Neurospora crassa OR74A: one gene and its partners. The protein of the gene in region 1 interacts with the protein of each later gene in a biochemical or structural test. Links are inferred from orthologs where the notes say so. Each region holds a gene or a part of one and is shown in the gene's direction. Other genes may lie near its edges. The genes, in order: pcn, polh, mus-41 and mus-25.

Region 1 (7,551 bases):
CATAGCATAAGCGACACCCAGAAAACCCACCGATTCCCAGATCTCAGCCACACCGACCCACGCCTAGCTTTAGCTCTGCAGAATAACGGACATTAAACACGATCGAAGGAGGAACCAGGACTTGAAACAAGGAAACTGCGTGGTGCCGCCGGCCTGGTATCTGTACTCCGTCGAAACAAGGGGACAAGCACACTCCTCTTTCTTTCTTTCTTCCTTGTTCAGAGTGCCGCCTGGCGTCAGATGGAGAGCTAGCACCACATATCGACCTCCCGTTTCTTTGTTGGATGCTCCTCTTCCGTTCTCTTGTCCGAGTCCCATCATTGTCCGAGTCGTTGTCCGGTCGTAGTGGCATCCATGGAGACCGTAATTCAGGATTGCGAGCCTCTTGCCAATTATCTCAAGGGTTCGCTTACCTACTCACTGTCCATCTCTAAAGCACAGCATCACTTACTTGCCATGACAGATCAAGGCGAAGAAACACGCAACAATGACTGGCCAACACCGCCAGCCTCCGAGTCCGACCACAATGGCCAGTTCCACGATGCCCACGATGACCGCCTCTCCGAACACAGCATCTCACCCCCCTCTTCTCCCAACTTCGCTCCCGTAGGCCGCCCCATGGTCCGCAAGCGGTTCCGAAAGAACGCCCCTGAGCCAATACAACTCGAGATCCCACACCGCATGAAGCGATACAGCTCGCTCGGCTCGCTACATGACTCCTATTCTGTAAGGATCTTTTACGCTCAAATCATAGGGGCCATGTGTGTTGAACTAATGACGTTTGTTCGTGGTGAAAAGAAAGCCGTAACAGCGAGGATAGACCGCGCCGACAACCAGAAATTCATCGAGCAGTTCCGATATACGATCGTCGCTTCGCAGTTGTTGAGTGGGCACTCGGTTGCTGGACTTAATCACTTTTACCGAAATCAGGATGCCGATAGTTCGAAAGAGCAAAATAACGATGTCGTACTACCGAACTCGACGGGGCTGGTTGCGACGGCTGCGGGAGCGTTGGTGGTGGCGTTGGGGATAAGGTGGTTGTGTTTGGGAGGATATGCTCGTCTGACCAAAAAGGGGGTGCTGGTTGCCGTCGTGGTTGCCGTTGCGGTGGGATTGGTGGCGCACTTTTATATCCGGAAGCAGTGGCTGAGATATGTGCGGAACAAGGCGCTGGCAGAGGTTGCTACTTTTGTGGCGAAGAGTCAGGATTGGGATAGTGCTACGAGTGCGGCGCTGTCGCTTGTTCAGGAGGTTGAGTTGGTGTCGAGGGGGTATAGGCTGTGAGTATGGTCTTCCGGAGGATATTGGGGTTAACTGCGGCTAACAATAACCAGGAGCGCACCACTACCGCCTATCAGCAGAATCGAAGACCGAAGCCAAACGAGACGATGCGGACGCCTGCGCAAGGCTCTCAAGCAGCGGTTTGCCGATATGATCAAGAGTTACATCCAAGTGACGACAGCGGTGAAGGGACTCTCGGAACAGTTGGATCTGGAAAAGTACTACGACGTTTACGACATTACCGACTTTGACGTTTCCGATGCGATGCAAGGGTTTCCGGAGGTCGCGACGGAGGAGGCGGAGTCGTTACGGGTGCTCAAAATTGCCGCTGCTCGGTTCCATACCATCCGCAAGCTGCTTCTCTGCGCTTTGCTTGCGTTTGAGGCTACGGGAGATAACAGCGACTTTGTGCGGTGGTCGACGGCGGCTCAGTGTCTCAGCCAGCTGAGCAGTCTGACAGGTGATTGCTACGAGAGGCTTCGTCTCATCTTGAGCGATGAAGAGAGTGAGTTTCATCCCGTATTCTTGCACACTACAAACACACAACAGCTAACAAAACCACTCAGGCTTCCCCGCTATCCCCGAAACCAAGTTCCCTCTTTCGCCCAACCGCGAGAAACGCCGAACGCAATTCCGCAAGCTCGACTCTCTATCGACGGGCATCCGCGGTCTCCAAGCCAAGCTGGCACTATTGCGTGAAGAATCCGAGAAAGCACTCAACGAAGCCGACGACATCTCTGAAGTTGGTTTCGACCTCCTGTCGCAATACGAGTCCATTGGCCAAGACCTCAAGATGCTGCAGCAAGCCTGGGAGGATGGCAAGGCTGCCCTAGCATCGGGAATCGACCGCAACGAGAAACGTATTTCGTCTATGAGCATGCTGTACTCGCCTGCTACCTCTCTAAGCGGGTTGACCACTGTCGGCGAAGAGAACGAAACCGGCGGCGGAGCGGAGGATGCGCTGAAAGCGCTCACCGGGGAGACGTCTCCCACACGAAACTCCTCGCCAAGTCCCAACGAGCCGGATGTGTTTGAGGCGGTTGCGCTATCGGCTCGGCCCAGGAGTATGCTGACCAGGGAAGAGAGATTGGTGAAAATGAAAGAGGAGAGAGAGATGAGGGCAATGCAGAGAGAGAAGGCGGAAGCGAGTAGGGGCATGTTGAAGGAGTTGGAGATGGTGATTAATCTGAGGCCGAAGAGACATACAACCATGGGACCAGGCGGGGGAAACGGCAGGAGTGCGGCGCCGACGAGGATTTCTTTATGACGACAGACAAACTCTGCGGCATTCGCGCTGTCTTTCTTTCGGGTTTCTTTTCTTTGACCACTATAATCTTACATGGCATCAAGGCATTGCGCGCAGACAAAAGAGAGGGGCGAACAACAACGACGAGAAGGTCAGCTTGCCAGTTTTCTTGAAAAGCAACAACAGCAACAACAACAACAACTTTGGGTAGAATGGCGTTTTGACGGACATACAGACCATGGGAACATTTGAAAGCTGGGGCAGGCAAGCGAGCAATGTGGGACACAGAATTTAACGGCGTTTACACAGTTTATACAGACGATCTTGGGCGGGCATTCTGTAACAAATTCTTTTTTGAGTTGGGGGAGGGTGTAAGATAGGTGAAATAATGTAATAATCAAAATATATTGGAGAATGGAGGTAGAACAGAGTTCGCGCAGAAATGAGGGAGTCGAATAGTTGAAGTCATATCATCGGAACTTGAAGTGAGCAGCATACCTTTGGTTCGACATTGCCGTCGAGACACGATCCAAACAGAAAGAGGGGATTCAGGGCGACAGCTCCCACTGAAAACGCGAAGATTGCGCCTGAAAGCGGACTAACAGCGCTGGAGAACGGGACCGTGCACCGGGAGCTAGCCTGAAGCGGTAAATCAATTAAGCCTAACCCCGGCTCAGCGCGTTTAGCTGCCATTAGCAGGCGCGTCAAGTCGCGAAGTGGGTGTCCCGGCACCACCTGTGGTATTGGTGGTTCCTCTCTTTTTATCGTCCATTGCCTGCCTGTTGCAGCTTTTTGAACAAAACCATAACTCTTCCCAAATCCAAATCTTTTCTTCTCTCTTCTTTCTTCGTCAAACCACGAGCGCCTCTCTCTCCCGAAAGTGATACCCAGCGCGCGCATATTTTCTTCCCTCTTTGTCTTTTTTTCCCCCGTCGAGTTCGGTAATTCACATCCATCAGTATGTCGTCTCTGTCTGAGCGTGAAGCTGCCTGCTCGCTTGCTCGCTGGCCCGGCACTAGGAAGAAAAGCTGGAGAACTGGAGTGATGGGTTGCTGACTGGAGGACTACCACAACAACAGAAATGCTTGAAGCACGGTTGGAGCAGGCGTCGATCCTGAAGAAGGTATGTCATGTCCTCTTCCTGTCAAGTGCTGTCTGTTTCCTTTCCCAGCTAGAAGACCCCCACTAACTCTGTCATGATGATGACGATGATGTCCAGGTCGTCGACGCCATCAAGGACCTCGTGCAGGACTGCAACTTCGACTGCAACGACTCGGGCATCGCCCTGCAAGCCATGGACAACTCGCACGTCGCGCTCGTGTCCATGATGCTCAAGACGGAGACCTTCTCGCCCTTCCGGTGCGACCGCAACATTGCGCTCGGCGTCAACCTGACGTCGCTGACCAAGGTGCTCCGCGCCGCCCAGAACGAGGACATCCTGACGCTCAAGGCCGAGGACGCGCCCGACGTGCTCAACCTCGTCTTCGAATCTTCCGAAAACGACCGTATCTCCGAGTACGACCTCAAGCTCATGGACATTGACCAGGAGCACCTGGGCATTCCGGATACCGAGTACGCGGCCACCATCAGCATGCCGTCTTCTGAGTTTAAGCGCATCACCACCGACCTCATGGCCATGAGCGAGAGCGTCAACATTGAGGCGAGCAAGGACGGCGTCAAGTTTAGCTGCCAGGGCGACATTGGCAACGGCAGCATTACCCTCCGCCAGCACACCAACGTTGATAAGCCCAGCGAGAATATCGAGATTGAGTTGAGCGAGCCGGTTTCCCTCACGTTCTCGCTCAAGTACCTGGTCAACTTTTGCAAGGCGAGCGCGCTGTCGAGCACGGTCAAGATCTGCCTCTCCAACGAGGTGCCCCTTTTGGTCGAGTACAACATTTCGGCTAGCAGCTACTTGAGGTTCTATCTTGCGCCCAAGGTATGTCTTTGTTTGTCATTTTCTGGGTGGTTGTTTTCTGTCAGGCGTGATGCTAACTGGTTCTGATTCACAGATTGGCGACGAGGAGTAAACGCCCCATTTACCTCCAACAACCGAACCACATCTTTGTTACGAACACCACGAAACTATGCCTTCATGTATACCTCGAGTTGCTATAAAATCATGGGGAGGAGGAGAATTGCAAGTCATGTAGAAGATAAGGGGTGATGCAGTGATGAGAAGAAGAAAAGGGATATGAAGAAAAAGAAATCTGTGTTTTTGAAAGAGTCTGGCACTAGTACACTACACACAAATGTTTTAGAGGGCGTTTTGTTCTTTCTGCTGCGAAGATGAATGTTTAGGGGAGACGACGAGGTGTCAATGATTATTGCGATGGCCTCCAACAACACACCTTCACCAAGGAACCCGATGCTGTTGTCGTTTCCTTTTTTTTTTTTTTTTTTTTTTTTTTTTTTGTCTGATGGTTTCTAACATTGATATCGGCAAACTGTCCTCCCTGTATCACTATGGTAATCATCGCTTCTCGGGAGTTCAGCTTGGCGTTGAAAGTAGGTATCTCAGAAGTGGGTTCAATCACAAGTACACCAGTACTGACATCACCACTTCCCGTCAGTCGGCGTGTTTTCCAGAAATCTTCCACCCGACTGTTTTTTTTTTTTTTTTTTTTTTTTTTTTTTTTTTTTTTTTTTTTTTTTTTTTTTTTCATCCGATGAAGTTCCTGGTGTTCACCAGCTTCCCCACATTGTTCATTCAATGTATGTAACTTACCTACCCACCACCTGCGTGACGTCCCCTCCCGCCTACAACAGCCCAGGGCCCGGGGCGCGCCCAGCAGCTGAATGGACTCCGCATTCAAGTTGCCCCTAACCCGCCCTGCAGGAAACTTTTTGGCGGGGCATGGGTGGTTCCTGGGGAAAAAAAAAAGAGTCATTGACTGGCCGGCCCTGTGCCATGACCGTTAGCGGCGAATTTCTGGACCATTCGAGGACTCGAATCAAGATGTGGGCAAATGGGTGGCACGAGAGGGCGATATCGCAGTTTATTTGATTGATGATACTATTTCCAATTGATCGAATCTTTCGGCTATATACGGTCTTCTTCTTTCACCGCTGACTGACTGACTAGGTCTAGAGTCAGACTCACTTGGTGTGTCACAGTGTTGCTTGCTTAGTTCTTTTTCCGGAATCTTTCCTCCATCTTTTCTTGACCCGGTGATCATCCACTGGCAGTCCTTCCTCGGACTTCTTCTGCGAGTTCGAGACAGACCTAGTTCCTTTTGACAACAACAAACATTCTCTACATCGTTTAACTTTGGCACCAGTTCTCAACATATCGTCGAGATTTCAAGCGGCCGACTATTTTTTACAGAGACGATTTATATCACCGAATTGACAGACCGTTCGTTGAATCGCCAGCTCGGCTTACTCGGCTTACGTACCTCTCTCTACCAACGATCGAGATCCTTTGCGCCGCCACTCTACGTCGTAGGACATCTACCGAACATAACCAATTCGAACGAAGGAGGTCTCTACAACAAGTCTCGAGCTCGATCTTTCCTCTACAACAACCAAAAGCCGAATCGCATACAAAGTACTCTACCAAGGTCACCATGAGCGACGGAGAGCCTCCAGTCCCCGACACCCGCGTGTTGGCGGTCGCCAGCCATGTAAGTCTACTTCTCCTTTTCAATTAATACCAGGTTAAATCAATTGCTGACTGGGAGTGTTCAGGTTGTCTCTGGGTAAGTTCCGATTTACCTACAAGCTTTGCGCCGGCCTCCCCCGATGACGACTAGAACAGCCGAGCCCCAACCAGACAAGACGAGACGAGACGAGACGAAAGGGAAAAGAATAAAAAGAAGAAGAAGAGAAAGGCATTGGCTAACATCAATGTGTCTTCCCTCAGCTACGTAGGCAACAAAATCGCCGTCTTCTCCATGCAATCCCTTGGCTGCGACGTCGCCGCCCTCAACACGGTGCAGTTCAGCAACCATACGGGCTACCGCCAATTCACCGGCACGCGCGTGTCCGCTTCCGAAATCACCGACCTCTACCGCGGTCTCAAACAGTCCTACCTCGATGACTTTGATATGATGCTGTCCGGATACGTCCCCGGTGCTCCAGCGCTGGAAGCCGTGGGGGAGATAGCGAAAGAACTTAAGGAAAAGGCTCAAGCGCGCGGGAAGCCTGGATCTTTCTTTTGGGTGCTGGACCCCGTGATGGGCGATAACGGCAGTCTGTACGTCGCGCAGGATGTGGTGCCGGTATATAAAGGGCTGGTGCAGTACGCAGACCTGATACTCCCGAACCAATTCGAGGCCGAGTGCGTACCTTTCTTTTCTTCCCCTTTCCCCTTCCCTCTCTTCTTGTTGTTGGGTTATTAATCTAACAGATAACAGACTCCTATCAGAAGTCAAAATAGTCGACATGCCCTCCTTAACCCGCGCCATCTCCGTCCTGCACGAGCGCTACGCCATCCCGCACATCATCATCACTTCCGTCTCCCTTCCCGACGCTGCTACTACCGTCTCCTCCACCATGCCCAACTCCGTACCCGGCTCTTCGGCGCCCACACCAACACCCCAAGAAGAAGGCCAAGGCCAATCGCAACCGCCCCGCACCAAGACCCTCAGCGTAGTGGGCTCAACAATGACTTCTGCCCGCCAACCGCGCGCGTTTCAGATTAGCTTCCCCGCCATCGACTGCTACTTCTCCGGAACGGGCGATATGTTTTCCGCTTTGATGCTTGTGCGCATGCGAGAAGCGGTGTATAACACTGAAGGAGACTTGACAGAACGGGAATCGTGGTTGTCAGATGACTCAGTGGACGCGCTGGACTTGCCGCTTGCCAAGGCGGCGGAGAAGGTGTTGGCGAGTATGCATGAGGTGTTGACGAAGACGGCGGAGGGGATGAAGGGGAGGGTGCAGAGGGCTAAGGGGTTTGTGGATGAACAGCTTCAACGAGAGAAGGCGATGACGGATGGGGTTAATGGGTGTGGACATGCGAATGGCAATGGGACGACAGATCAGGATGGGCATGTGGATAAGAAACCTAGGCTGGATTC
Region 2 (8,040 bases), about 7.5 Mb from region 1:
CACAAGCATAAACAGACCGGCGATATAGAGGCCAACGCCTACAGTAATGTCGGACCAGACGATGACCCTGATAGCCCTGGGCTCGAGTCCTTTTACAGCAAAGACGTTTTTATCTGCGAATCAGACGGAAAGCCGCGATGGTGTCACAGTTGTTGCACCTGGAAGCCAGACAGGGCGCATCACTGCAGTGAAATCGATCGATGCGTCAAGAAGATGGATCACTATTGCCCGTGGGTTGGGGGAATCGTGGGTGAGACGTGTAAGTGGAAAGAAATAATCGATACATCTGATGGCGGACTCGGCTAATCCTGGTGCGCAGCGTTTAAGTACTTCATCCAGTTCACGTTTTACGCATCGCTTTGCTCCATAGTAGTTATCACTGCTTGCGCTGTTTGCACGAGGCAACGACTTCATACCGGTCACGGCCTTGATGGTTTTGTGGTCGCCATATTGGCTTTATCCGGCCTTCTGGGATTTTTTGCCGTAACCATGTTCATCACATCCGCGCGATATGCGCTGCAGAACATGACAAATATCGACTACCTCAAGTCCAAAAACTTCGTGCATAACCTGGCCATTCGGGTCCCGAGAGGCATCCAATCCTGTGAAAAGTACAAGGTCGTCACATATCCGATATCGAAATCCGGAGACTTGGGCACTCCGTTACCTGGAGACGTCGGTGCAAGAGGCGTGGCCAATATGAGGGATATGCTCGCAACGCGCACCTTTGCTGTCGTGAAAACCGAGCTGGGCGAGAACCCGTGGGATCTAGGCTTCTATCGAAACTGGAAATCCGTCATGGGCAACAGCATCATTGACTGGCTACTGCCCCTCAAGGACTCACCTTGCGCAACGTACGAGAACAACGAGAGCTTTTACGAAATGGGCCCCATATATCTGCGAGTGCGAGAAAGGTTTAGGCTTCCGCACCTAACCGACGACGAGAAGGGGTTTACCACATCGAAGAAGGAGTTGTCGTCGAAATCACAGGCCAAAGAGAGGAAACAAAAGAAGCAGGAGCAGGAATCACAGGACCGGGCCCATGGGTCGGCGAACTTGTGATCAACTTCAACTTATTAATCTAGATACCCCCTTCCATTTGTCTATGTCCTCTGTTTACCATACTATTTTGGTTTCTAGACTTTTGCCGGCGCTCAGCGAAGGGCCCGGCGGTCATGTTTCTTTTACTCTTGATTAGATACTTTAATGCTGGCTTACGGTCGGCACTCATGTATGGTGTCGAACTGCTATTTCTCCGGGTATGAGCAGGTAGTGTTTCGAGGCTCTTTCTTCCTTTCACCAACGAAGTCAGGTACTATTTCTATACAACTTCCCAGCATGTTCCCCTTTGTGGTAACCTCTTCAGTGACTTTACCCTCTCCATCCACACGAAACTTTTTTTTCGAGCCGGCCGAGCACAGTCCTTGTTACTACCCATATCCTGAAAAAGTGGAAGTTCGATAGCGTTGAACGTAAAGGTCAGAAGCATGGCGCTTGTTGCAATTGCAATCATGCAGTGCCGCTGCTTGATTCCTACCTAACCGACTCCAATATGGTAAGCCCTGCGTACTTGATCTCAATAGCGTGACGCAACTCCAGTGGAACTCTGAGAGACCAACATGGACTGACAGGATGTGGACGGAACCGAAGGAAATCCGAGTGCAATCTGAAGGACGAGTGATAACCGATGATAACAGAAAATGATGCATCGTGCGAACTGGTAGTATCGTAGGGTTCATTGCATCGTATAACCCCCACGTGTGGAACATATGGTAACTCAGTATGTATGCAGGTGGTGAGTTGTCATTTGGGTTCAAGTTCCCGATTCTCAGGTTGCGTAGAGAGTATCGGAGGAGACCATTTGGCTGTAGTATCTCGTTCGTTCTTTCTCCAGGGCAGGACTAAAGTCGCTCGTCGAACGTGTGATGGACCATGCGCATTTGCTTGTAGACGATTGTATGTTCAAAGCACATACTTCTAGCCGCGACTTCGGCACAATATAACTGGTTGAGAACCCTGTCGTCGTGATGCCGTGAGGTGGTGTTGATATGTGATGGTAGCCCAGGACTTCGAGTTTTCCAAGACTAGAGCAGTCGGCAAGGTGCCTAGGTATCCCCGCGCGCAAGTCCCTACACTACATTAGATATCTCGAACGCAACATCGATAGCATCCGTTCATGTAACCCCCCTTCCCCCCTGCCCCCGCCCGCGCCTTACTAGGCGATGTAGGCATTGGCGTGTTTGGGCAGAATACGGGCTGTATTGTGGACCGTTCGTTCTGCCACATCAACTTCAGGTCAGGTGTACATGTCTAGCGTATCTCGCATATGCGGGAAGGGGCCCTTTTGGACTGAAGGGTTAGGCTAAAACGCGGGATGACTTCGCGGCTCTGCATTTCAGTTCGATGATGATTTACCGCCTCCAGAGGTACATAGCTATGTAACTGGAGTTGGCACAGCAGAGTCGTGACCTGCAGGGTGGGACTCCCGCACGTGGGGATCTCATCACTGATAGGCGCGGATGTATCTATCGAGTTACCCGCTGTGGGGGACCTCCCGGCTCGAACTTCCTCCGATCCTGTCAGCTTCCAAACAGTTTCCACAGGGCAGTCTGGACACTGGACTACGCGGCAGTTCCCACCTTACCTTAGCGCGCTTTTGCTCCGTTCGACGTGACTTCGGCACTCTCACAACCACCCGTCGCGACGCCGTCTTCATGCGCCTCCGTCACCGATGAACGTCTCTCGGCCATCCGCGATCACCACGACTCTGATTGCCGTAGCCGGCCCGTCTTCATAGCCCGCCCGACCGAATGAAAATGACGACACCCTTGGCTTTAGATTCCGCCCATACGCTGCCATGTCGTCACCGCCCCATATGCAGTCCTTTCGCGACTTGTCTCCCGCGGGCGCTCCCGGCATGAAGCGTTCACGGTTCACGTATCGTCACATCCAGCAACTCGCTGCCTCGAGTACTTCGTGTCCGCTCAGGGTCATTGCTCACCTGGATCTCGATTGCTTCTACGCTCAGGTAGAAATGGTGCGACTAGGGATACCAGACGACAAGCCCGTTGCCGTTCAGCAATGGTAAACCCAGTCTCCAAATGTGCCTATTGGGCATTCTCTGACGTCAAACTGACCTTGTATAGGCAGGGATTGATTGCAGTCAACTATCCTGCTCGTAGCTTTGGCATCGGCCGGCATTGCAACGTGTCGGAAGCAAAAAAGCTCTGCCCGGATCTTATACATCAACACGTTGCAACATGGAGAGAAGGCGATGCCAAGTGGGATTACCACCCGGATGCCGCGGCCAACATGGCGACGCACAAAGTGTCCTTAGACCCTTACCGACTTGAATCCCGTAAGATTCTGGCTATCATCAAAGAAGAACTCCCACCTCATCTTCAAAAGGTGGAGAAAGCGAGCATCGATGAGGTGTTTATGGACCTCTCGGCACAAGTGCACACTATCCTGCTCGAACGTTTTCCCGAGCTTGCCAACCCTCCCCCATACGATGACCCGACCGAGATGCTACCCATGCCATCCATCACCGCTCTCGACTGGCAGGCTGATGCGCTGGTAGACCTGCCAGACGAAAACGCTGAACTTGAGGATCCGGACTGGGACGACGTGGCTATTCTTATAGGCTCAGAAATTGTGCGCAAGGTGCGGATAGCCATCAAAGATAAGCTTGGATACACGTGCTCCGCAGGTGTAGCCTGTAATAAGCTGTTGAGCAAGTTGGGCTCGGCTTACCGAAAGCCCAACCAACAGACGGTGCTTCGGAATCGTTCAATTCAGCATTTTCTGTCCGACTTCAAGTTCACAAAGATGCGGAACCTTGGCGGCAAGCTGGGCGAACAAATCAGTCAGATGTTTCACACAGACACGGTCAAAGACTTGCTCAGCGCTTCGGTGGAGCAGCTAAAATCGAAGCTAGGCGATGACACAGGCGTCTGGGTCTACAACACCGTGCGTGGGATCGATACCAGCGAGGTAAACCCGCGCGTCCAAATCAAGTCGATGCTGTCGGCCAAGTCCTTTCGTCCTAGTATAACCTCCTTCGAGCAGGCTGTCAGATGGCTGCGCATTTTTGCCGCTGACATTTTTTCCCGGTTGGTCGAAGAAGGTGTTTTGGAAAATAAGCGGAGGCCTAAGACCATCAATCTCCATCACCGTCACGGCACTCAAACCCGGTCACGTCAGGGTCCTATCCCTCAAGGCCGTAAGCTCGACGAAGAGAGTTTGCTAGAGCTGGCCAGGAACTTGTTAAGCCAGATTGTTTCCGAGGGTCAGGTTTGGCCATGTTCCAACCTCAGCCTTAGCGTTGGAGGATTTGAGGATGGTGTCACTGGAAACATGGGCATTGGCGCTTTCTTGTTGAAGGGCGAGGAGGCTCAGGCAAGCAAGACGGGGTCAGGGACAGCGACGGTTGACTCTGAAACCGAGATCCGCCCGGCAGAGAAGCGAAGGCGCCTGGATAACGGCGGGATAGAACGATTTTTCGCAAAGAGAGAGTTATCCCACGGTGCTAATCCTGGGTTGGGCTCCGACGATACGGCCATCAGTGGTCAAAGCGGTCAAAGGTTGGGCACCCTGAAAGAGGAGGTCATGTCAGGTGAGCCGGCCGGTTCAGAGGGGGTGGGCAAAGGCGATGAGGTATATAACGGGAAGTCTGAATCAGAACCCGGCCCAATCATCACATTGACGTGCTCGCGATGCAACGCCAGCCTCGATAGCCCCGAGGAACTGCAAAGCCATCAGGACTGGCATTTTGCCAAAGAGCTCCAAGAACAAGAACGTGTCAGCCAGACATTCGTCAATCAGCCATCAGCGTCTAGCTCGCGTGCCGGCAATCAAAAATCCACAAGCACGATGCCGAAGCGACAAGGTAGACCTAAGAAGGTCGAGCGCGGGCAAAGCAAACTCAAGTTCGGTTGAACAGGCTATCGCGATTTTCATGACACGATGCCCTGAAAACGGCAAAGTGACATGAGCGCACAGGTGGAGAATTCAATGCATGAATCCACAACACGACGCTTGATATCAAAAGGTGCCTCTGACCAAGCTATTCAAGATTGCACATGCAGTCTTTGTGGAGGACGGTTTGCTCTTCAGATTCGCTGCAGGTGTTCGTCTTCAGCTGCGCGACGGGATTGACTACGGCATCTCACCAAAGTCTGCGTTCTGGCGGTGACCGAGAATCCAGGGACAAACCAATCAATGCTTGGACAGATCCACGATGCCCTTCTGGCATTTAATGGGTGGTAACGGGTCGGCAGTCTCACTTCCGAAAATCTCGTGAAGCACATTTTGCTACATGGCAGCCGAATCTATGGGGAGGCTATCAAGCTCCTATACTTGTTGGAACGCCCTCTGGAAGATAAAACTTCAATCTGCGCGCAATGAGTTGAGCTCGTGAGAGTTGCTGCTCGATTTCCTCACAGGTCACTGAGAGACTCGTAAGTTTAAGGGACTTCCACGAAAGCATCGGGAGACTGTTATGGCAAACATGGACCATGACGGAAGCAAGAAAGCTCCAGACAAACGGACAAAAAGTGTCGTCAATGTCTGTGTCTGATTTGGCGTCCAGATACTCGTCATGATCGGGGCCCTGTATGACAAACTGGCGGAGACGGCATGTGCCCCTTTGGTTGGTACACCAGAATAAAAATACGACGCAGGAGCATGTTCTGCACTAGGGTTACTTGCCGATGTGGGAAGAAAGGATCAATTCGGCCATGATCACTAGGGGCAGTGAGCGTGCTCAGAGCCAAACGGCCGCCTTGTTGTCGAGCTTACACCCTCACCAACCGAAGCATCGGACAAAGCTGATTGGCTGCGAGGAGACCCCATCTCATGCGGCAGCTTGCGGCGTTGCAGAAAGGTTGGGCTTCCAGACTTCCAGACGCATTGATACCCGATTGTTGCCAGAACCCGCCCGTTCCCAGATCCATTGCTTCCCCATTGCGTCTCCATCACGAAGCCCACTAGAAAGTATCTTCACACAGCCTTTCGCTAGCCCAATTTGTCTTAAATGCATTTCAACCCGCGTGGAAGAAGCTACGGCATGGGCATATAGGTCATAATTCCACACACGACGTCGGCGACCCATTGGTATGTGGAAACCATGTCGGATGCTCGAAATGATTTCTTGAATTCTTGTCCTCACACATGTCACGGCGACGAAGCGACTCTTTCATCCATGTGCCACCTTCAGCCTGTCAGCCAGCACTGTCTGGCGTCTGGCCCCGACCCTTCAGCTTTCGATATGTAATCACATTGGTTGTCCATCTCTTCCCAACCATCACCATAGGCTTGCCGCCTAAATATTGAGTGCTATATGACAGTGACTCTGCGAAGACCGCCTTGATTCTACGCAAGACATCCAGACCCGTCGGTAGACGACCTCATGGCACCACACAGTAGTAGACATTTGAGGTCGTTTTGTTCCTTATGTATAAATCCGAAATGTCTTCTATTGACATCAACTTTTGTGGTATGATTTTCTCAACGAATGGCTTTATTGATTCCGTCTGAAGTCAGGCCTTCATTGTCCCCACATTCAGTTTATCTTTGCGCACCCGGTCGAGCTCATGTTTTGCGCCCTTGACGCCCAAACGGGTCACCGAATACCCACTACCAAAACAGCGGCCTTCCTTGCGTTCACCTTGACGCTGGAAAATCTTTTACAGTATGTATGGCGTTGGCAGCGCTCTGTGTCCATTTCTTTCTTGACTGGTACGAGTTACCACCGAGGGTTGACGCCTGCGGTTGATTAATTGGCACCCACACCTCCGCGTGCGATTGTGGCGTTTCCACAACAACCCACACAGCCAATAGAATCCTCAGAATGGAAGTCAAAAAACAACGCCAGCCTCATCACCAGGTTTGACTTCTGACTGTTTGCACTACTTGGCAATTGGCACTGGAGTCTCCAGTCTGGCAGGCCGATTGTTGACACCTATAATCCCTAAAGGCGTAAAGCGCACTCTGGCAGGTGACGGCGTCTAGCAAGGTCGCTCCTAGGTACCAAGTGCACCTTTTCCGCCAATGTATAGTGTAGCAAGCAGGTTAACGACTCCATTATCACCTGTCGACAATGGGCAAAAGTTGACTTTCGACCTGAAGCGATTTCAAGCTTGCCTTCCACTCCACAGACTTACAGCCCAACGCTTGCCAATCTTCACACCGCATTTTTTTTTTTTTAATCTCTCCTGAGCCTGTACGCCTTTGTGTCTTCCATCAGCACTGGCATCGTCCATTGCTCCATCCGCCCCCGTCCTTGGGCTATCTCGAGTCGTTTTTCAGTGGTTGGCAGGACTGCCTCTTTCGCTTGCTGCAGCCCCTAAAGGCAGTAGCCCACATCGGGTCCCCTAGAGCCAACCAATGTCTCCCACGCCTCTCTTCCGAGGCCGTCCTGGCCGGTGAAGAAAAGGAGAAAGAAAGAAAAAGGGAGGGAGGGTACGGTTGTATAAGATAAGCTGTTTGTCATATCGTTTCACTGGCTGTCCATGTGCACAAACTGCTTTTCCTATCAAGCCTCACTTTGACGTCGTGGTTTGCTATGCTCGGCTGTGCTTGGCCACATTTGTTAAAGTTGACTCGGCCGCCCTGTTGGCCAAGTATGGCTGCCATCTATCCAAGCCATCATTCACCATTGAGCATTCGTACTGTCGTCGTCGTTTTAGGCCGCGCTGCTGTGGCGACTATAAGTTCAACGATACATTAGCGTAACGCGCTCCCATTGGCAGACACCGGGTCCCTACCGCCATGTATCCAGAAAACCAACCCTGGGTGGGACCTCCTGGTGCTGCCTCCCGACCTTCTCAAGCCCCTCACTCTATCCTTGAAGTTGCTGTCAACCCCCATCCCATCTGCAAGGCATTCCGTATTCTGGCCGATCTGGTTGCTGTCAGTCAGCTTCTCGTCCGCTCTTTTTGGCTCCTGTTCCTGCTGCTTGTGCTCGTTGTCAGCAGATGCCCCTGCTGCCCTGCCGATGCCCTGCGGATTCCGTGCCCCATTCTCCATCAGAGTTCGGCC
Region 3 (7,987 bases), on another chromosome or scaffold:
GAGGATTCTTGACGAGACCGAGGCGAGGGCGACTAGAACTACTAGCGAAATGCCAGCCCTGTAGTGGAAATCCTTCGGCGGAAGAGCAAGCCGCAGGGCCACTCACTATCTTGAAAACCGATTGCGAACGACGGTCTTTATTCTTGGTGATAGGCCAGAAGTTGGTGGGTGAGCTTGGGGGTGATTGGGCCTGAACGAAGATGGTTTGGGTGTTCGCAGAGGTACAATTATAGGCTAAAATGTAGCCGTTACCCATGTTCCCACTACTCAGGCCCGGCGAGAACACGCCACACGGAACGCTCTTACAAAGTGGTTGCTCTGCCCCAGATTGCAAGCAATATCGGTCTTGGTGATGGATGTTGTGCTTTCAACTACCACCATCTGCAAAGGGGTCATGTGCCTCTCTGTCGTACGATGGTCCTACCGAGACCATGTCAACACTTTGCCTCGAGGACGCTTCGTGCTGTTTCAAAGGGACAAGAAGACCTGGGCCGATGCTGTCGACGATTGCAGACTTTTGCCTATTCATGATAATCGGGCTAAGCGATAGTCACGGAGTGTACGCTCGCGGTCTCGATCGAGATCGATCCTGTGTCGTCACAGACGGTCAGCACCAAGAGTACGATACGTGATGGAAAGAAGAATCTCGATTGTGGCTCGTTGGCCTCGTATACGGCACAAACAGAGGACTCAAATGTGCTGTGTCTTTAGAGCACGCCACAACCTCCAGGGAAGCTTCCAGCTCGCCTTGACTTTGAACGGGTCGAAATCAGCCTTCTCCAACCTTTCCAAGTAATCGGCAGCCGGGACTGCTTCCAACAGCACCCCAAACCCCCTCTTGATATCAGCTTGTGTTGCGTCGACCCCACCGCTGGAGTAGATATGCTCTTGTTCTCCCTCATGCTCATAATCATGGCCCACCTCTTCCCCGGCCTTCAAGTTCTTCAACATCTCCCTCGCCGTTATCAAATGGTCATTGGCCCTTGTAGCCACCTTGAACACGGAATCCTGCAGTCCCTCAGCGTTGGGTCCGTGGCGAAAGACATCTTCTTCTCTGACCCCCACCTCGGCCATCACATCGAGGGGTAGTAGCAGGGCGGGATGCCGGGTGTTGCCCACGCTCCCAGCCGGACCCTGGATGGGCTGCGATGGAGCGGCGAGAACGGGAATGCCGCGTAGTGTGGCTACGATGCCGCACGCCTTGCCGATGTGACTAGCCAGGTGGTCCATATGTACTGATCGCAAAGGCATGGAAGCCAAGGTCACATACATCAGCGTCGCGTACGTATTCTCGGCGTAGTCTTCCAGCGAGTTCAAGCTGACAAAGGGCCTGTTTTCCATGTGTTGCTCGCGCGTGTTGATCAAGCGTAGGAGCCAGAACTTGAGAGAGCTGGCGCTGTTGGGGCCGGCGCGGGCTTTGAGGTCTTGGATGGCTTGGTGGAGGAGGATGGAGATGGGCTCGCGTGGGGGATTGCCGGCAAAGACGCTGTTCACGGTTTCACGCCAAAAGGACATGCGCATGCGTGCGATGGTCGGGTTGGAAACTGTCTCGGGGAGACGGGCAAGTTCGAGGTTCAGGGTACGGAGGGCGTTGTAGGCGTCCCGAGAGGAAGGAGGGACGAATTGTCGGAGGAGAAAAGCTTCGTAGTCACCATGTCTGGGGTGGGGGGAGAAAGAGTTAGCAGAGAAAGAAGGGCAAGTGGGAAGAATGGCTAGGTATGGGGAGGGAAAGCAGAGACAGACTTGAGCTGGTTCTCACAGTACTGACGGGCCTTTTCGACGTCGCCGTCTGTGACTGTCGCGAGGCCTCGTCCGGAGAGGGAAGGCTGCCACGAAGGCCTCTGAGGCTGGAGACGTAGACGGGGCCGTAGAGGTGCCCGCCCCAGGCCATGACAACAACCTGCCGCTCGAGGGGATATCATGATCAAAGAAGCGGTACTGTTTTCCCCGCTGTCACAAAGTGGTTCACATCTCTCACTGTAACAAGAGACAAGACAACCTCGGCAGCAGCGGGGAGGAAGACAAGCCGACGACGACAGGACATGTTGATTTGACAATTCGCTGAGACCATGTTACGCTGCGCCCCTCAGCATCACAAGCGCGGCGCCTCTAAAGCCTTTATGGTTAGCAGCGATGACGGCATTAAATGGCTTCAGTGGCCCAAGCTTCTGGCTTTCCATACAATCCAGTACTGGTTTGCTTGTTAGTTCGAGACCTCGCATCAACTTTCCGATGCGTTTTCATAGCTAATCAATGCGTGATCTTACCATGGATACACCATTTGTAATATTCTGAATGCCATATCAAATAGTACTAATATCTTTTAACCTTTATACCAACTATTTCGATCTCTTCTTAGAGGGTTTAGGACTAATTGGGATAGATTAGGTTTCGTCTAGTGTATAGAGTATGGTACAGTACCTAGTGTACCCAGCTAACAAACAACCCAGCACTGGACTGTACACTGCAGAGGGCGTAATTAATTACCTCTAGGGTGGCGCGCAATCACCTGACAGCGGGAAGGCGGAAACGAATGCACGCCAAAGTTTCACGGTTGCCACGGCACAGTCGCGTCTCACAGGCGCAACACTGAAGTTCACCATTGCAGTTGGTGCATTCGAGTCGGTTGGGTGACAGTAGCTGACTGATACCGTACACCCGTGGTACGACTACCTAGAGGTACTGTACCTACCTTGAACCTAATGGGCTGAACAACCAACACCTGGATGGACCGACACGACACCATGGACTTCACCAACGAGCCTCTCTCCAAGAAGCGCCGGTTCCTGGGCGACCAGGGTGATTCGGACCATGTCGCTGGCGGCCCCAGCTCGTCTCCCCAGTTCAGTGCTCCCCCGAGCTCACCACCCAGGAAGAAACTCCTCCAAGACCCAAACAGTGAAGTCCAGCCACGAGTTTCCAAAGATGCGGACCACAATGACGACGACGACGACGACGACGACGACGACGACGAAGAACGCCCAAGATTCTTCACAGACGATGGCACCCTAACGCCCCACGCCACGAAGATATGTGCTCCCTGGCTCAACGACATGCCCAAACCAGACCCTAGAAAAGGATATCTCTTGAAAGACGTCGATACTCCGATCGCGACACCCCGGGACGTGGCACCCCCAGTGGTCGAGTCCCCCCAGCTGGCCTTCGACAAAGACACATTCGAAGCTTTTGTTGGCGAAAAGGTTGCGTCCGATATCCTCCACGTCATCAGCAAGAACTGCGGCAACAACATCGAAAGAGCCGTCAACATGTACCTGGATGGAACATGGAAAAAGCTGCACCGGGCGCCTCCAGTCAGAGTCAACTCGCATTCGCCCCTGGTTGTAGGAGGTCAGTCTCCCAAGAAATCATCAACATCACAAGCACGGTCCCGGTCGCACGCTCAAGCCCAACCACAGCCGCAATCGAACACACCAACAAAGGTTCTCCCATCAATGCCAGACGCCCGCTACGTCGGCGCATTTGGTGTTGAGGGATGGGCTACCAGAAGCGGGACAGGCCTCCTCAGACACGGTGACAGCGTCAAGATTGAGCGCCAAAAGATCCAACCACCTACCGTTGCAAGAAAAGGGCAGACCAAGCCTGGCACCCCGCAGTCCATACCACGAGTCAGCGCGGCAGCTGCCAAACGTGTCGATGTCATAGTCCGCTTCAACGACGCCAGTGGCAGGGAACTCGGCCGTCTAGCCAAAGACACAGCCAACTGGGTGTCAACGCTAATAGACCAGAACATCTGCAGATTCGAAGGCATCTGTGTTTACGCGCCCGAGCGTCTACGAACGAACGAGACCGTCTTCTTGCAGCTCAAGTGCTACATGCTACGGTCTGCCTTCTTGGGGAGAACCCTCCAACTAGCCGACAATAGGGCTGCCGGGTTCCACGAGAAAGACGAGACAACAGAAGAGAAGGACCTGCGACTGAGACAAGTGGCGCTTGTCAGACTGTTTCAAGAGATCAACATTGTTCCGTCTCGAGGCAACGCCGCTGCCGCCAAGGACGCCAGGAAAGACCTTCTTGAAGCAGCAGATTCGGCCGAGAAGAAGGCGATGGACAAGGCCAAGGCTGGGGACCACAACACTAACGGATTAGCTTCTCCCCCCGAAGAGGCCGAAGAGGGCCAGGAGCTCGAACAAGACCAACTCGACGCGCTGTACAAGAAGGCCCAATCCTTCGACTTTAGCACCCCCGAGGCTGAACCAGCTAATACCTTCGCCATGACCTTGCGTCCCTACCAGAAGCAGTCGCTGTACTGGATGCTGGCCAAGGAGAAGAACCAGCGAACAGAAGACCGTGAAACATCCATGCATCCCCTATGGGAAGAGTACGTGTGGCCGACCAAGGACCATGACGATAAGGACCTACCTGTGGTTCCTGACCAACCTTGCTTCTACGTCAACCCATACTCTGGCGATCTGTCACTGGACTTCCCCAAACAAGAGCAGCATTGTCTTGGTGGAATCTTGGCAGACGAGATGGGACTTGGTGGGTTTGCCTTTTACATTTTTCTTTTCTCTTTGACCTGATATCCAGCTCACAGTCATGTATCACAGGCAAAACCATCCAGATGCTTTCCCTGATCCATTCTCACCGATCCGAAGTAGCCATCAAGGCGCGGGAGGCTGGCCCTACCTCGGTCAACAACCTCCCACGCCTACCAACAGTCTCTGGACAGAAGACGACAATTGACGCTCCGTGCACAACCCTTGTGGTTGCCCCCATGTCCTTGCTGGCGCAATGGCAAAGCGAAGCTGAGAATGCTTCCAAGGAGGGCACGTTCAAGACCATGATGTACTACGGGGCGGAAAAGAATGTCGATCTGGTGACCATGTGCTGCGAAGCCAACGCGGCCAACGCTCCAGATGTGATCATCACCAGCTATGGAGTCGTCCTCTCCGAGTTTACCCAACTCGCCACCAAGAATGGAGACAGACTCAGCAGCCGCGGGCTTTTCTCCCTCAACTTCTTCCGTGTCATTCTGGACGAAGCACATAATATCAAGAACCGCCAAGCTAAGACCTCCCGCGCATGCTACGAAATTGCCGCCGAACACCGCTGGGTCCTCACCGGAACCCCCATTGTCAATCGCCTCGAAGACCTCTTCAGCCTGGTCCGTTTCCTACGCGTTGAGCCATGGAACAATTTTTCCTTCTGGCGGACCTTCATCACCGTCCCCTTTGAGTCCAAGAACTTTGTCCGCGCCTTAGACGTCGTCCAAACCGTCCTCGAACCGCTCGTCATGCGCCGCACCAAAGACATGAAGACCCCGGATGGCCAGTTCCTTGTTCCGCTTCCGCCCAAACACATCGAGATCGTCGACATCGAACTCTCCGAGCCTGAAAGGGCAGTCTACGACTACGTCTTCAACCGCGCCAAGCGAACGCTCTTTGACAATATGCAGGCCGGCACCGTCATGAAGGCGTTTACCTCCATTTTTGCACAGATCTTGCGGCTCCGGCAGTCCTGCTGTCACCCTGTGCTTGTTCGCAACCAGGAGATCCTCGCTGATGAGGAGGAAGCCAATATGGCCGCTGACGTTGCGGCGGGTTTGGCAGACGATATGGATCTCCAAACTCTGATCGAGCGCTTCACCGCCACCACAGACGACGCCTCCAAAACCAACAACAACTTCGGCGCTCACGTTCTTAGACAGATCCGTGACGAAGCAGTCAACGAATGCCCCATCTGCGCCGAAGAACCAATGATCGACCAGGCCGTGACAGGATGCTGGCATTCTGCGTGCAAGAAATGTCTGCTCGACTATATCAAACATCAAACCGACCGTAACGAGGTCCCGCGGTGTTTCCAATGTCGCGAGCACATCAACATCCGCGACATCTTCGAAGTCATCCGCCACGATGATGACCTGGAGACATCCTCTACCCCAGGGGCAAGTCCCGAGCCGCGCATCTCCCTACAACGCGTGGGCGCCAATGACTCCAGCGCCAAAATCGTCGCTCTAATCTCACACCTCCGCACCTTGCGTCAAGAGCACCCCAAAATGAAGTCCCTCGTAATTTCCCAATTCACATCCTTTCTCTCGCTGATATCCTCCGCCCTCACACGTCACAAGATCTCTTTTCTTCGGCTGGATGGGTCCATGTCCCAGAAGGCCCGCGCCGCTGTTCTTACCGAGTTTCAATCCACCAACAAGTTTTGCGTTTTGCTTCTCAGTCTCAAAGCGGGTGGTGTCGGGTTGAACCTGACCAGTGCCAAGAGGGTCTACATGATGGACCCGTGGTGGTCCTTTGCGGTGGAGGCGCAGGCGATTGATCGTGTGCATCGCATGGGGCAAGAGGATGAGGTGAGGGTTTATCGATTTATAGTGAAACAGAGTGTGGAAATGAGGATGTTGCGGGTGCAGGAGAGGAAAAAGTTTATGTGAGTTTGTCCCCGATCAGTGATTTAATGACATTGACTGGAGGTAGGTAAAAGGCTAACCTGATTTGACTGCAGAGCAACATCACTGGGGATGATGTCAGACGAGGAAAAGAAGATGCAGAGGATCGAGGATATCAAGGAGCTGTTGAGCTCAGACTAAGCGTATCGATATGTATGCCGGATGTCAGGGGAAACTGCAATCCAATCCATTTTCGTTGTTAGGCGTCCCGAGGTCCTTTTCTTGCATGCAGCGGCGTCGGTATACTTACCTATCTCGTACATAGGGCCATCTCAGGTCTTCATAGAGCAATAGAATCGCGCATACCAGAGCCCCAATTCTAACGTTGGCACCAAGCAGGTCAAGCGACCCGGAGGTGTAGGTGACTCTACGACTACGGGGAAAGCGTGGAAACTTCTGAGTTTTGGAAATCTGGATGGTCGGGTCGTTATGATTGTCGCCATCAAAGTTGACAAACCAAGGTGCCTTGTTCCTGACATTGTTACTGAAACCTTGGACTTGAAACCTTTGACATTATACCTTGTGTTTACGCTTACTACGCACCCGAGCATCTCCAATATACCTTGAAACTCAATGTTTAGGCAATGCCTGGATAGAGATATCCCAGAGGGACTCTAGCCGTTGTGTTTTCGAGTAGGCTTCAGCGGTACTCCCACACACTGTATTCCAAAATATTCGGTGGGCTTAAAGCCTTGCATTTCGTTGTGCGGACTGGAGACGGGTATGCTTGATGATGTAAATGAGGACATCTTTCTGGAACATGGACCGTAGACGTGGAAAGGGCTGGCACATATGGGCAAGGAAGTTGCTAATGCAATCCACATCAAGAACAGGTTCGATGTACGACATGCATGGCGCCACTGGATAATGAGCCAGGCCGTCAAGGTTCCCTTTCGCTTGAAATTGTTTGGTCAGTGTGCAGCATGCTCATCGATGTCCTTGGAGAAGATCGCTACAGCCGACGAAACGGTAACCAACAAACATATCAGTTAACGAAGAATCTTCCAGCTGGCGTCCAGTGGCGAGCCAAATCCTGCAGCGTTACAGGCGAGGCAATTCCAGCTGTCCACCAGCTTGCTCAGTTACAACCCGCCTGGCCGCCTTCAGTTGCATGCCACTCGGATCAGGCATATCCGGGTCAATCACCCGTCGGCTGCCGTCGTTGGTGGCACGAGCCGCGTGCGTGGCTGGTTGGTTGCCGTTGGCGGACATGGGGACGTCGGTTGCCGTCGGGTGGCTGAAAGAAACATGTTCTGGAATACTTGTTCGCGCGGTGTAACGTTGGGGTCGTGATGTCCTTCGGTCCAAGGACGGAAACAAGACTTGATCGCAAATTTCCAGTATGCCGTCAAGGTCCTCCTCGTAAGTTACGAATCAGGACACGAGCTCGGCTGCAGACGTGTCTCATGCTGGTGGCTCTCATGTGCGTGTCGACAGCGTACGGTATGTACCTTGCAGTCGTCATGAAATTGCGGTGTTTGGTTCGACGGTCGTGGCGGTCCTGCGGCTCTGCGGCTTTTGCGTTTACGTACTAGCAGCTTGCTTGCGCGGCTCGACGCCGACAGCTTGACA
Region 4 (8,078 bases), on another chromosome or scaffold:
TCAAGAGGCGGAAGCAGTCCATCACGGAACTGGAACTACCGCCGATCCCTCATTTACCGAACAAGTCGCCAGCCAGAATGACTCTGGGCAACCGAGACACCCTGATGGCTAGGCCGGAGCCGAGTCCCATGGGTGGCAACTCAAGGCGGGCTATGGATCCGTTCTTGCAGGATAGCCCTATTATTGAATCATTTGCCGACGCCCCTCTATCGTCGATAGAGGCTTCTGACTCGGGCGCGCCATACAGATCTTTGGAGGATTCTCCCGAGATCAGACGGAACAAGGATAGTTATCAAAGAGGATTCTCTCCCGACTACGAACCGAGTCCAAAAGCCGTGATACGCGCCATCGACCCTAACTCTTCTAGCGACTCGGTTGAGGCCAGACAGCCTCGAATAGAAATGCCAGGCAGGCCAGCGCTCGATCGAACCATGACTTCACCCCCGAGATCATTCTTGCGCGATGATAGCGAGAGCGAATACAGTCCCGAATCGAAGACAGTTTCTCGCACCGAGTCCCGTAAACTAAGCCTGAGGCCGGGTCAAACAAAGGAAAAGAAGAGACGATCCTCTTCGCCGACGGTGTCCAAGTCGAAGAGCTACCCTAGCCTTGGCAAGTCAAAGGAGGACTTGAAGGCTCCTGCTCGTCAGAACTCCAAGATGTCCTCCAAAGCGAGCAAGAAACCCAGCTTGCCTAGTTTACGGGTAGATAATACCGAGCCTAATTCGCTGGGCTCGGGCGCAGGTGGCTTGAAGTCTGCCGAATCAATCAAGCCGGCCAGCAAATCAGAACTCGACGAGCCCGAACAATTCGTGGTCGGCGACCCCACCGACGATGACCGGCAGAAGGCGCTCAAAATTTACGAAGGTAATGAGGACTTCATTGCCAGAGACAAGGCGGCCGCATGGATGGGTGAGGAGGGTCCTGTCCGGCAACGCACGCTCCGGGCGTACATGGAAAACTATGAGTTTGAGAACATGAGTGTTTGTGCTAGTTTGCGACAGCTTTGCAACCGCCTCCTTTTGAGGGCGGAAACCCAGCAGGTTGATCGGATTCTGGTCGCTTTCTCCAACCGATGGTGTGAATGCAATCCCAACCATGGGTTCAAATCAATGGGTAAGTCCTGCTTGAAATGCAGTTGAAGTGTTTCTTGCGCTGACAATCTACGTTACAGACATCATTCACACCATTTGCTACTCCATCATGCTCCTCAATACGGACTTGCATATGGCTGATATTGAACACAAGATGACCAAGAGCCAGTTCATCAAGAACACCATGACCACGATCCGACAGGCACTCGAGGATTCGAATCCAGAAGCATTTGAACGTCCCAGTATTCTACCTGGCAAAGGTGCCAGTCTTGGCGTTGAGGGCAACCGTCGCAACTCTAGTGAAGACAACAAACACAGTTTCAGACATTCTTTCAAGCCGCCAGCACGGCCGACGTCCGGCTTTGGTACAATAACAGATTCGTCTACCGCTGACAGTTGCGGACCTCTCGTAAGAGCGCCCTTTGATGGGCCCTTGAAGGGATGGGAATCGCAGGTCGAAGCAGTCCTCAAAGACATCTACTCATCCATCCGCGACGAAAGCCTACCGTTATTTGGCGGTGCCACCAATACGACGGGTCTCTCAACAACCGCCCAAGGCAGCTTATCGGTTATGGGTGTGCTCAAGCGGAGCCCTAGTGTACTGAGTAAAGCGCCATCGGAGGGTATGGCTTCCACTCGGGGTAGGATTCCCGAAGGGCCCAAGGCGAATTCATCCAGATGGAACTCAAAGAGTCGGTCGAGGCCAAGAGGCTTTGGAACTAGCTTTAATTCGAGCCGGACTAGCTTTGACGACGGGAACTCACTTTGGAGCCCCACCGAATCCTCGGCGACCTGGAGCAAAGCGTCGCTGGGTAGGACCCACACGACCATGTCCATGGACTCTTTTGGTTCCTCCTTCCGTGGCGACTATCAACAATCGATTGGGTTTGCAAATGCGCTTAGTCAGGCCATCATACGCGAAGACAACACACTTGATCTCGCGATCAGCAAGACGGAGGATTTCAACGCCGGGGAGCTGCTGGAAGACGAGTCCCTGGAATTAGCCGGTCCTCCATGGGTCAAGGAGGGTATTGTTACGCACAAACACCACATGGAAACCGTCGACAAACGGTCCAAGGAACGTACATGGAACGAGGTTTTTGCAGTCATCCAAAAGGGACAGCTAAGCTTGTTCTCCTTCTCTCCAAACAAATCAACGAGCAGGAAAAGGGGAATGCGCAGTAACGCACCAAAGGGAGGAGTTGTTGGTGGTGGCAACTGGCAAGACAATGCGGTAAAAGTGGGCACGTTTTCGCTGCGCCAGACACTGGCGACGATTATGCCGCCACCAGGCTATTCGCGAGCCCGTCCGCACGTCTGGTGTTTGTCGTTACCTAATGGGGCGCTCCATTTGTTCCAGGTCGGAACGGCCGAGATTTGCAGGGAATTTGTGACTACAGCCAACTATTGGAGCGCGCGGTCAAGCACCCATCCCATGATAGGCGGTGTCTCCAATATCGAATACGGCTGGAGTGATGCGGTCATCAACTCGACCCGGGTGTCTGGCATCCAAAGTAATGGCGACCTGAACAACACAGGTGGCGGCGGCGGCGGCGGCGGTGGAACTACCGGGCGTCCTGCTAGCAACAGCGTCAGCAGCAACTACAAGGGCCATTCACGCCCTGGCAGCGCAGCAAACGCGGCATCGGCAATGGCAGCGATGGCGGTTTCCAGCACGATCTCTGGCAGCCGTGCCTCGCTCCATAGTCGACGCAGTGTTAGAAGCTCTTCTTTCGACTTTGGTCGGCCGGGAAGCTCGGCCAGCAGCGGCGCCCTCGGTGTCACATTCAGCGGCCCCGGCGCACTCCCCCGTCCCAACCACGCATCATCGTCCTCGAAGCTACCAGGCGATAAGATTCACATTGCCGAGTGGACACCGCCCTCGCAGTCCCTCCGGCCCAGCACCCTTTCGGAGCGTGAACAGTTTGGGCATCTCATCGCCTACGTCAGGAGTCTTGAAGAAGATTTCCAAAAGCATAATTCGCTCAGGAGTCCTATGCTTCTGGCATTCTCGCCTCGATCAGTGAACGCGGCCAAGGCGATGACCAACTGGGAGAAGAAGAGCCAGCATCTCCTCAACGAGATTGTGAAGTACAGGACGTATGTAGACAGCCTGCGCGAGGCAGATATCAGGAGGTCGGAGATTTACCGTGAAAGGGAGAACGCGAGACGCGCGGCAAGGGGTGAGGATGTGGTTGACAGTGATGGAGAAGGCGAACCTTCACCTGGTGAGGTCATGGATGCGTCGCTGGAAAGGGAGGTCAAGGGCTAAGGGACAACATAATGGATGGATGATATGGTATGTCGTGAAGAGCTTGGGAAAGAAAGAGAAAGAGGGGCCAAAGGCGTTCAAGGTAGATTTTGGCGAAGATGACAAGCGTGACTTTATGGGGACGGGGATCTTTTATCGCTAAACACCACAAACACACACACACACACACTTCCTTTACGTTATACCATGGCATAGAGCAAGCGAGCATGCATGCACGACAAATTCTGTCTATCGTTACTTTCTGGGGTGCTTACGACTTGAGAATACATATTTAATACCTTCCTGGCACTTGTCGGTCTGGACCATAGGTCTCACTGAGGAGCATTTGCGAATGCCCTCAACATAGAACGACGACGACGGCATTGTTAGGTGTGACAAACAGTGACCAATCAGACGAAACTGTGGATGATGCAAAAGTGGAGACGAACAATCAAGGGTTAGGATTGGCCACACACTGTGCATAGTACTGCGTAGTCACCTACGTAACTACTTAACAGGGAAAGCTAGCCAAGATCATGTGATACCGTGTGAGGAAGGCGCGATTCGCCCCCCACCCTTCCGATCTTCGCGTCCAGTCTGTGTTTAGTCAACATTGTTAAGGTAAGCAGGCGCCAATCGCCATCTTCCTGCCTGGAGCCCGCTTCTCAGTCTTTTTGCGGTGGTTTTTTTTTTCTTCCCCCCTCATTTGCCTTCCGGATTTTTCGGTTGTTGTTCTTTTGAGTGACGGGCGTGAAATAAAAAAACTCCCAAATAGAGAAACAGGTCTAGCGTTGTTCCTAGGGAGCTACCGAGGCCGTTGTAACAAAGCCCGTTCCTTACAGCGAAGATGTAAGCAGACACCGTAACCTCCCCATGTATTCCTATTACCATTGATCACCAACATCACCACTCTCAACATCCGGCTACTAAGTAACACTCTGGATCTCGATAGGTCAGCATCCATGGTCTCAACACCCAAGGCCGCCTCCAAGGACAACAGCACCAACAGTCTCGCTCTCACTCAACGCAGCAAGTTCCCCACACCTCAATCCCTCGACAAACTCACCAAGCCGTTCAAATGCCCCGGCTCCGCGACGCGCACCGTAGCCGTCGACCGGCCGGCACGAAAGCGCAGAAAGATCGATTATAAAGGTGCTGGTGGCGAAGACGACGAGGATGGCGCCGACAAGCCCTACACCAACGCCGACCGGCTCGCCCTCGCCAACCGCGACGCCAACAAGTTCCCCGTGTTCGCGGTCAAAGACAAGTCGCAGGTATTCCGCAAGGCGTTCTCCGTGCCGCTCATCAACAAGAACACGACCGCGTACAACCCAAACCGCCCCCCACCCACGCTCGGCCTGAGACAGGGCGCCGTCTTTGTGGCTAAGCCGCTGCATGACCCGTGCGACGAGTTTGCTATTGTGCTGTATGATCCGACAGTGGATGATAAGCCCAAGGATACGGCGCCAGAGGCCATTGAAGAAAAGAAGGAAGAACCAGAGGTCAAGGTTGATGCGCCGCTGGTGCACAAGAGTCTGGCGGAGATTCTGGGCATCAAGAAGAAAGTCGAGGGTGAGCACCCTCGTGTCCCAGTGGTCATTGATCCCAGGCTGGCCAAGGTGCTGCGGCCGCATCAGATCGAGGGTGTCCGGTTCATGTACCGGTGCGTGACGGGCATGATTGATGAGAAGGCGAATGGTTGCATCATGGCAGACGAGATGGGCTTGGGAAAGACGTTGCAGTGCATCACGCTACTGTGGACGCTGTTGAAGCAGTCGCCGGATGCTGGAAAGTCAACGATCCAAAAGGCGATTGTGGCGTGTCCATCAAGTTTGGTCAGGAATTGGGCGAATGAGTTGGTCAAATGGTTGGGCGCGGACGCTATCACGCCCTTTGCCATTGATGGAAAGGCCTCGAAGGAGGAGTTGACGAGGCAGCTGCGGCAGTGGGCGATTGCCAGTGGACGGTCCGTGACGAGACCGGTGATTATTGTCTCGTACGAGACGCTAAGGCTTAATGTGGACGAGCTTAAGGGGACTCCCATTGGGTTGATGCTTTGCGACGAGGGCCACCGCCTGAAGAACGGAGACAGTCAGACGTTCAGTGCCTTGAACAGCCTGAATGTTTCGAGGAGGGTCATCTTGTCGGGTACACCCATTCAGAACGACCTGTCAGAGTACTTTGCTCTGATCAGCTTCGCCAACCCGGATCTCCTCGGTACTCGTCTCGAGTTCCGCAAACGCTTCGAGATTCCGATTCTACGCGGCCGCGATGCTGACGCCTCGGAAGCTGAGCGGAAGCGTGGTGACGAGTGCCTGGTTGAACTCCTTGCCATCGTCAACAAGTTCATCATTCGTCGTACCAACGACATTCTTTCCAAGTACCTCCCCGTGAAGTACGAGCACGTTGTCTTCTGCAACCTCGCTCCCTTCCAGCTTGACTTGTATAACTACTTTGTCGCCTCCCCCGACATCCAAGCTCTCCTGCGCGGCAAGGGCTCTCAACCTCTCAAGGCCATCAACATCCTCAAGAAGCTCTGCAACCACCCAGACCTGCTCGACCTATCGGCCGATCTGCCTGGCTGTGAGCAGTACTGGCCAGAAGACTACGTACCAAAGGAAGCGCGTGGCCGTGACCGCGACGTCAAGCCATGGTACTCCGGAAAGATGCAAGTGCTCGACCGCATGCTCGCCCGCATCCGCGCCGACACCAATGACAAGATTGTGCTCATCAGCAACTACACCCAAACGCTTGACCTCTTTGAGCGTCTCTGCCGCAACCGGCAATACGGTTGTCTCCGACTAGACGGTACCATGAACGTCAACAAACGCCAAAAACTTGTCGACAAGTTCAACGACCCGGAAGGCGACGAGTTTGTCTTTTTGCTCTCTTCCAAAGCCGGTGGGTGCGGCCTCAACCTGATTGGTGCCAACCGGCTCGTCCTCTTCGACCCGGACTGGAATCCAGCAGCGGATCAGCAGGCGCTGGCGCGTGTGTGGCGTGATGGCCAGAAGAAGGACTGTTTTGTCTATCGCTTCATCGCCACGGGTACCATTGAAGAAAAGATCTTCCAGCGGCAGAGCCACAAGCAATCCCTGTCGTCGTGCGTCGTCGACAGCGCCGAGGATGTGGAGAGACACTTTTCTCTGGACTCGCTGCGCGAGCTGTTCACTTATAGACCCGGGACCAAGAGCGATACCCATGACACGTTCAAGTGTAAGCGGTGTAAACCGGATGGGAGGCAGTATATGAAGGCGCAGGCCATGTTGTATGGCGATACTAGTACTTGGAATCACTTTGTTAACCATTGGGAGGGCGAGGACGCGGCGGGTAAGAGTGGAAAGGGCGGCGACCCGAATGGTGGTAGTGGAGGGATGAAGAGCATTCATGATCATTTGTTGAGGCAGGAGGTTGGGGAGAGGGATGTTAGTGCTGTGTTTCAGTATATTTCTCATTGAGTGGGTGGTTTGTCCTTTCTTCTTCTTTTTTCTTTCTCTCTCTTTTCGAGGAGGGTGGGGATGCTGGGTAAGAGGGTGCGTGCAATCAACGCAGCCTGATGGAGTTTTGGGTGTCGTCGGATGGTGAGATTCAGCTGAGAAACAAGTATCATGTAGCGTACGGTGTTTTGGTGTTTCGGGTCTGTTATGTTATGGGACGATTTACAAATACACATATCGCTAGACATCGTAACAATCATCACACTACGTAAACTATCAGTAGCATTCATCCTTCGATCAGCTGCTGGGGTTAGTGAAGACTCCAGTGGCGGTTTACTGTCTATATAGCGCAGTATTTGATGTTCATGACCTTCAGCTGGTTGTAAGAAGGACCTGAGAAGTAGGTTATATATCATCTATCAAATGTACTTACTATAGGCGCACGCTACATTAACAGGACTAACTAACACCCACCCATGCCATGACACCTCGCTTTGCAGATCTACAACTCATCAATGACATGCTCCTTCTCCTCATGTTTCTCCTCCACAATCACTTGCTCCTCAACCTTCTTCCCCTCCAAAACTTCCCCAGCCTTCTTTTCTTCCTGCTCCCTGACCCTCTTAGCCAACGCCGCAACCTCCTCGTCATAAACCGTCCACTCAGGCACCTGCCTCCTCGCCCTCTCCAACTTGGGCTCCTTCGTCATTGGATTATTACACAAATCAATCGTCCTCGCCTTCGTCAGCGTCTCATCAGAACACCACGTCTCGCACCACAACCACTCCTGCGGCAGACTCTTGATCGGGATCTGGAACTGCATATGATTCGGCAGATCCTGGTCCAGATTCGCCAGACTATTCGGGTCCGCGCTCAGCGTATGATACTGCTGCCTCAACCGATCGCCAGCGGCCAGCTCCCTGAAGCGGCGCAGATCAACCACGTACAGCGCCGAGATGTGGTACGGCTGGCCCCGCAGGTAGTTGGCCCAGTAACCCGTCTTCCAGAAGCGGAAGCCTTCCATTTCGGTTCGCGAGTCGCACATGGGCGTGAACCCGTAGGGCGCCCCCTCCAGGTCGAGGCTGACGAGGTCGTACATGTCCGTACGGACGACCTGGTCCGCGTCCACGAAAATGACCTTGTCCAAGCTCAAGGGGAAGAGGACGTCCAAAAACAAAATCTTGTAGCCCCAGATTTCGCGCTGCTTTTCCGATTGGTGCCGTAGCCAGTGCGGCCATTTGTAGGCGACCATCTCGTATTTGAACCCGTATTCGGCGGCCAGGTGGGGGAGGAAGG

What was found.
Region 2: the proteins of pcn (region 1) and polh form a complex in vitro, tested with the Saccharomyces cerevisiae proteins (9 studies listed by BioGRID, with this or other methods). The link is inferred for Neurospora crassa OR74A from reciprocal best matches to the Saccharomyces cerevisiae genes POL30 and RAD30.
Region 3: of the proteins of pcn (region 1) and mus-41, one has a biochemical effect on the other in vitro, tested with the Saccharomyces cerevisiae proteins (5 studies listed by BioGRID, with this or other methods). The link is inferred for Neurospora crassa OR74A from reciprocal best matches to the Saccharomyces cerevisiae genes POL30 and RAD5.
Region 4: the proteins of pcn (region 1) and mus-25 form a complex in vitro, tested with the Saccharomyces cerevisiae proteins (3 studies listed by BioGRID). The link is inferred for Neurospora crassa OR74A from reciprocal best matches to the Saccharomyces cerevisiae genes POL30 and RAD54.

The regions. Positions count from the first base shown.
Region 1 is NC_026501.1:9,445,146-9,452,696, forward strand, and holds pcn (proliferating cell nuclear antigen), read left to right. Parts: upstream 1-3,249; 5' UTR 3,250-3,485; intron 3,486-3,606; 5' UTR 3,607-3,608; coding exon 3,609-3,650; intron 3,651-3,746; coding exon 3,747-4,466; intron 4,467-4,539; coding exon 4,540-4,557; 3' UTR 4,558-4,912; downstream 4,913-7,551. Other genes in the region: NCU09240 (hypothetical protein), read left to right, coding at 457-1,280, 1,335-1,786, 1,848-2,548; NCU10351 (pyridoxine kinase), read left to right, coding at 6,097-6,153, 6,218-6,228, 6,393-6,809, 6,886-7,551. UniProt on the Saccharomyces cerevisiae protein: This protein is an auxiliary protein of DNA polymerase delta and is involved in the control of eukaryotic DNA replication by increasing the polymerase's processibility during elongation of the leading strand. Involved in DNA repair.
Region 2 is NC_026501.1:1,952,935-1,960,974, reverse strand, and holds polh (sister chromatid cohesion protein Eso1), read left to right. Parts: upstream 1-2,611; 5' UTR 2,612-2,857; coding exon 2,858-3,084; intron 3,085-3,146; coding exon 3,147-4,938; 3' UTR 4,939-6,290; downstream 6,291-8,040. Other genes in the region: NCU01935 (palmitoyltransferase PFA5), read left to right, coding at 1-259, 320-1,062; NCU16343 (hypothetical protein), read right to left, coding at 1,431-1,769. UniProt on the Saccharomyces cerevisiae protein: DNA polymerase specifically involved in DNA repair. Plays an important role in translesion synthesis, where the normal high fidelity DNA polymerases cannot proceed and DNA synthesis stalls. Plays an important role in the repair of UV-induced pyrimidine dimers.
Region 3 is NC_026503.1:35,152-43,138, forward strand, and holds mus-41 (DNA repair protein rad-5), read left to right. Parts: upstream 1-2,540; 5' UTR 2,541-2,726; coding exon 2,727-4,500; intron 4,501-4,568; coding exon 4,569-6,396; intron 6,397-6,471; coding exon 6,472-6,556; 3' UTR 6,557-6,726; downstream 6,727-7,987. Other genes in the region: NCU09517 (hypothetical protein), read right to left, coding at 691-1,657, 1,744-1,922. UniProt on the Saccharomyces cerevisiae protein: Probable helicase, member of the UBC2/RAD6 epistasis group. Functions with the DNA repair protein RAD18 in error-free postreplication DNA repair.
Region 4 is NC_026507.1:2,821,997-2,830,074, reverse strand, and holds mus-25 (DNA repair and recombination protein RAD54), read left to right. Parts: upstream 1-3,951; 5' UTR 3,952-4,192; coding exon 4,193-4,194; intron 4,195-4,297; coding exon 4,298-6,803; 3' UTR 6,804-7,254; downstream 7,255-8,078. Other genes in the region: NCU02347 (Sec7 domain-containing protein), read left to right, coding at 1-1,116, 1,175-3,366; NCU02349 (UDP-glucose:glycoprotein glucosyltransferase), read right to left, coding at 7,285-8,078. UniProt on the Saccharomyces cerevisiae protein: Plays an essential role in homologous recombination (HR) which is a major pathway for repairing DNA double-strand breaks (DSBs), single-stranded DNA (ssDNA) gaps, and stalled or collapsed replication forks.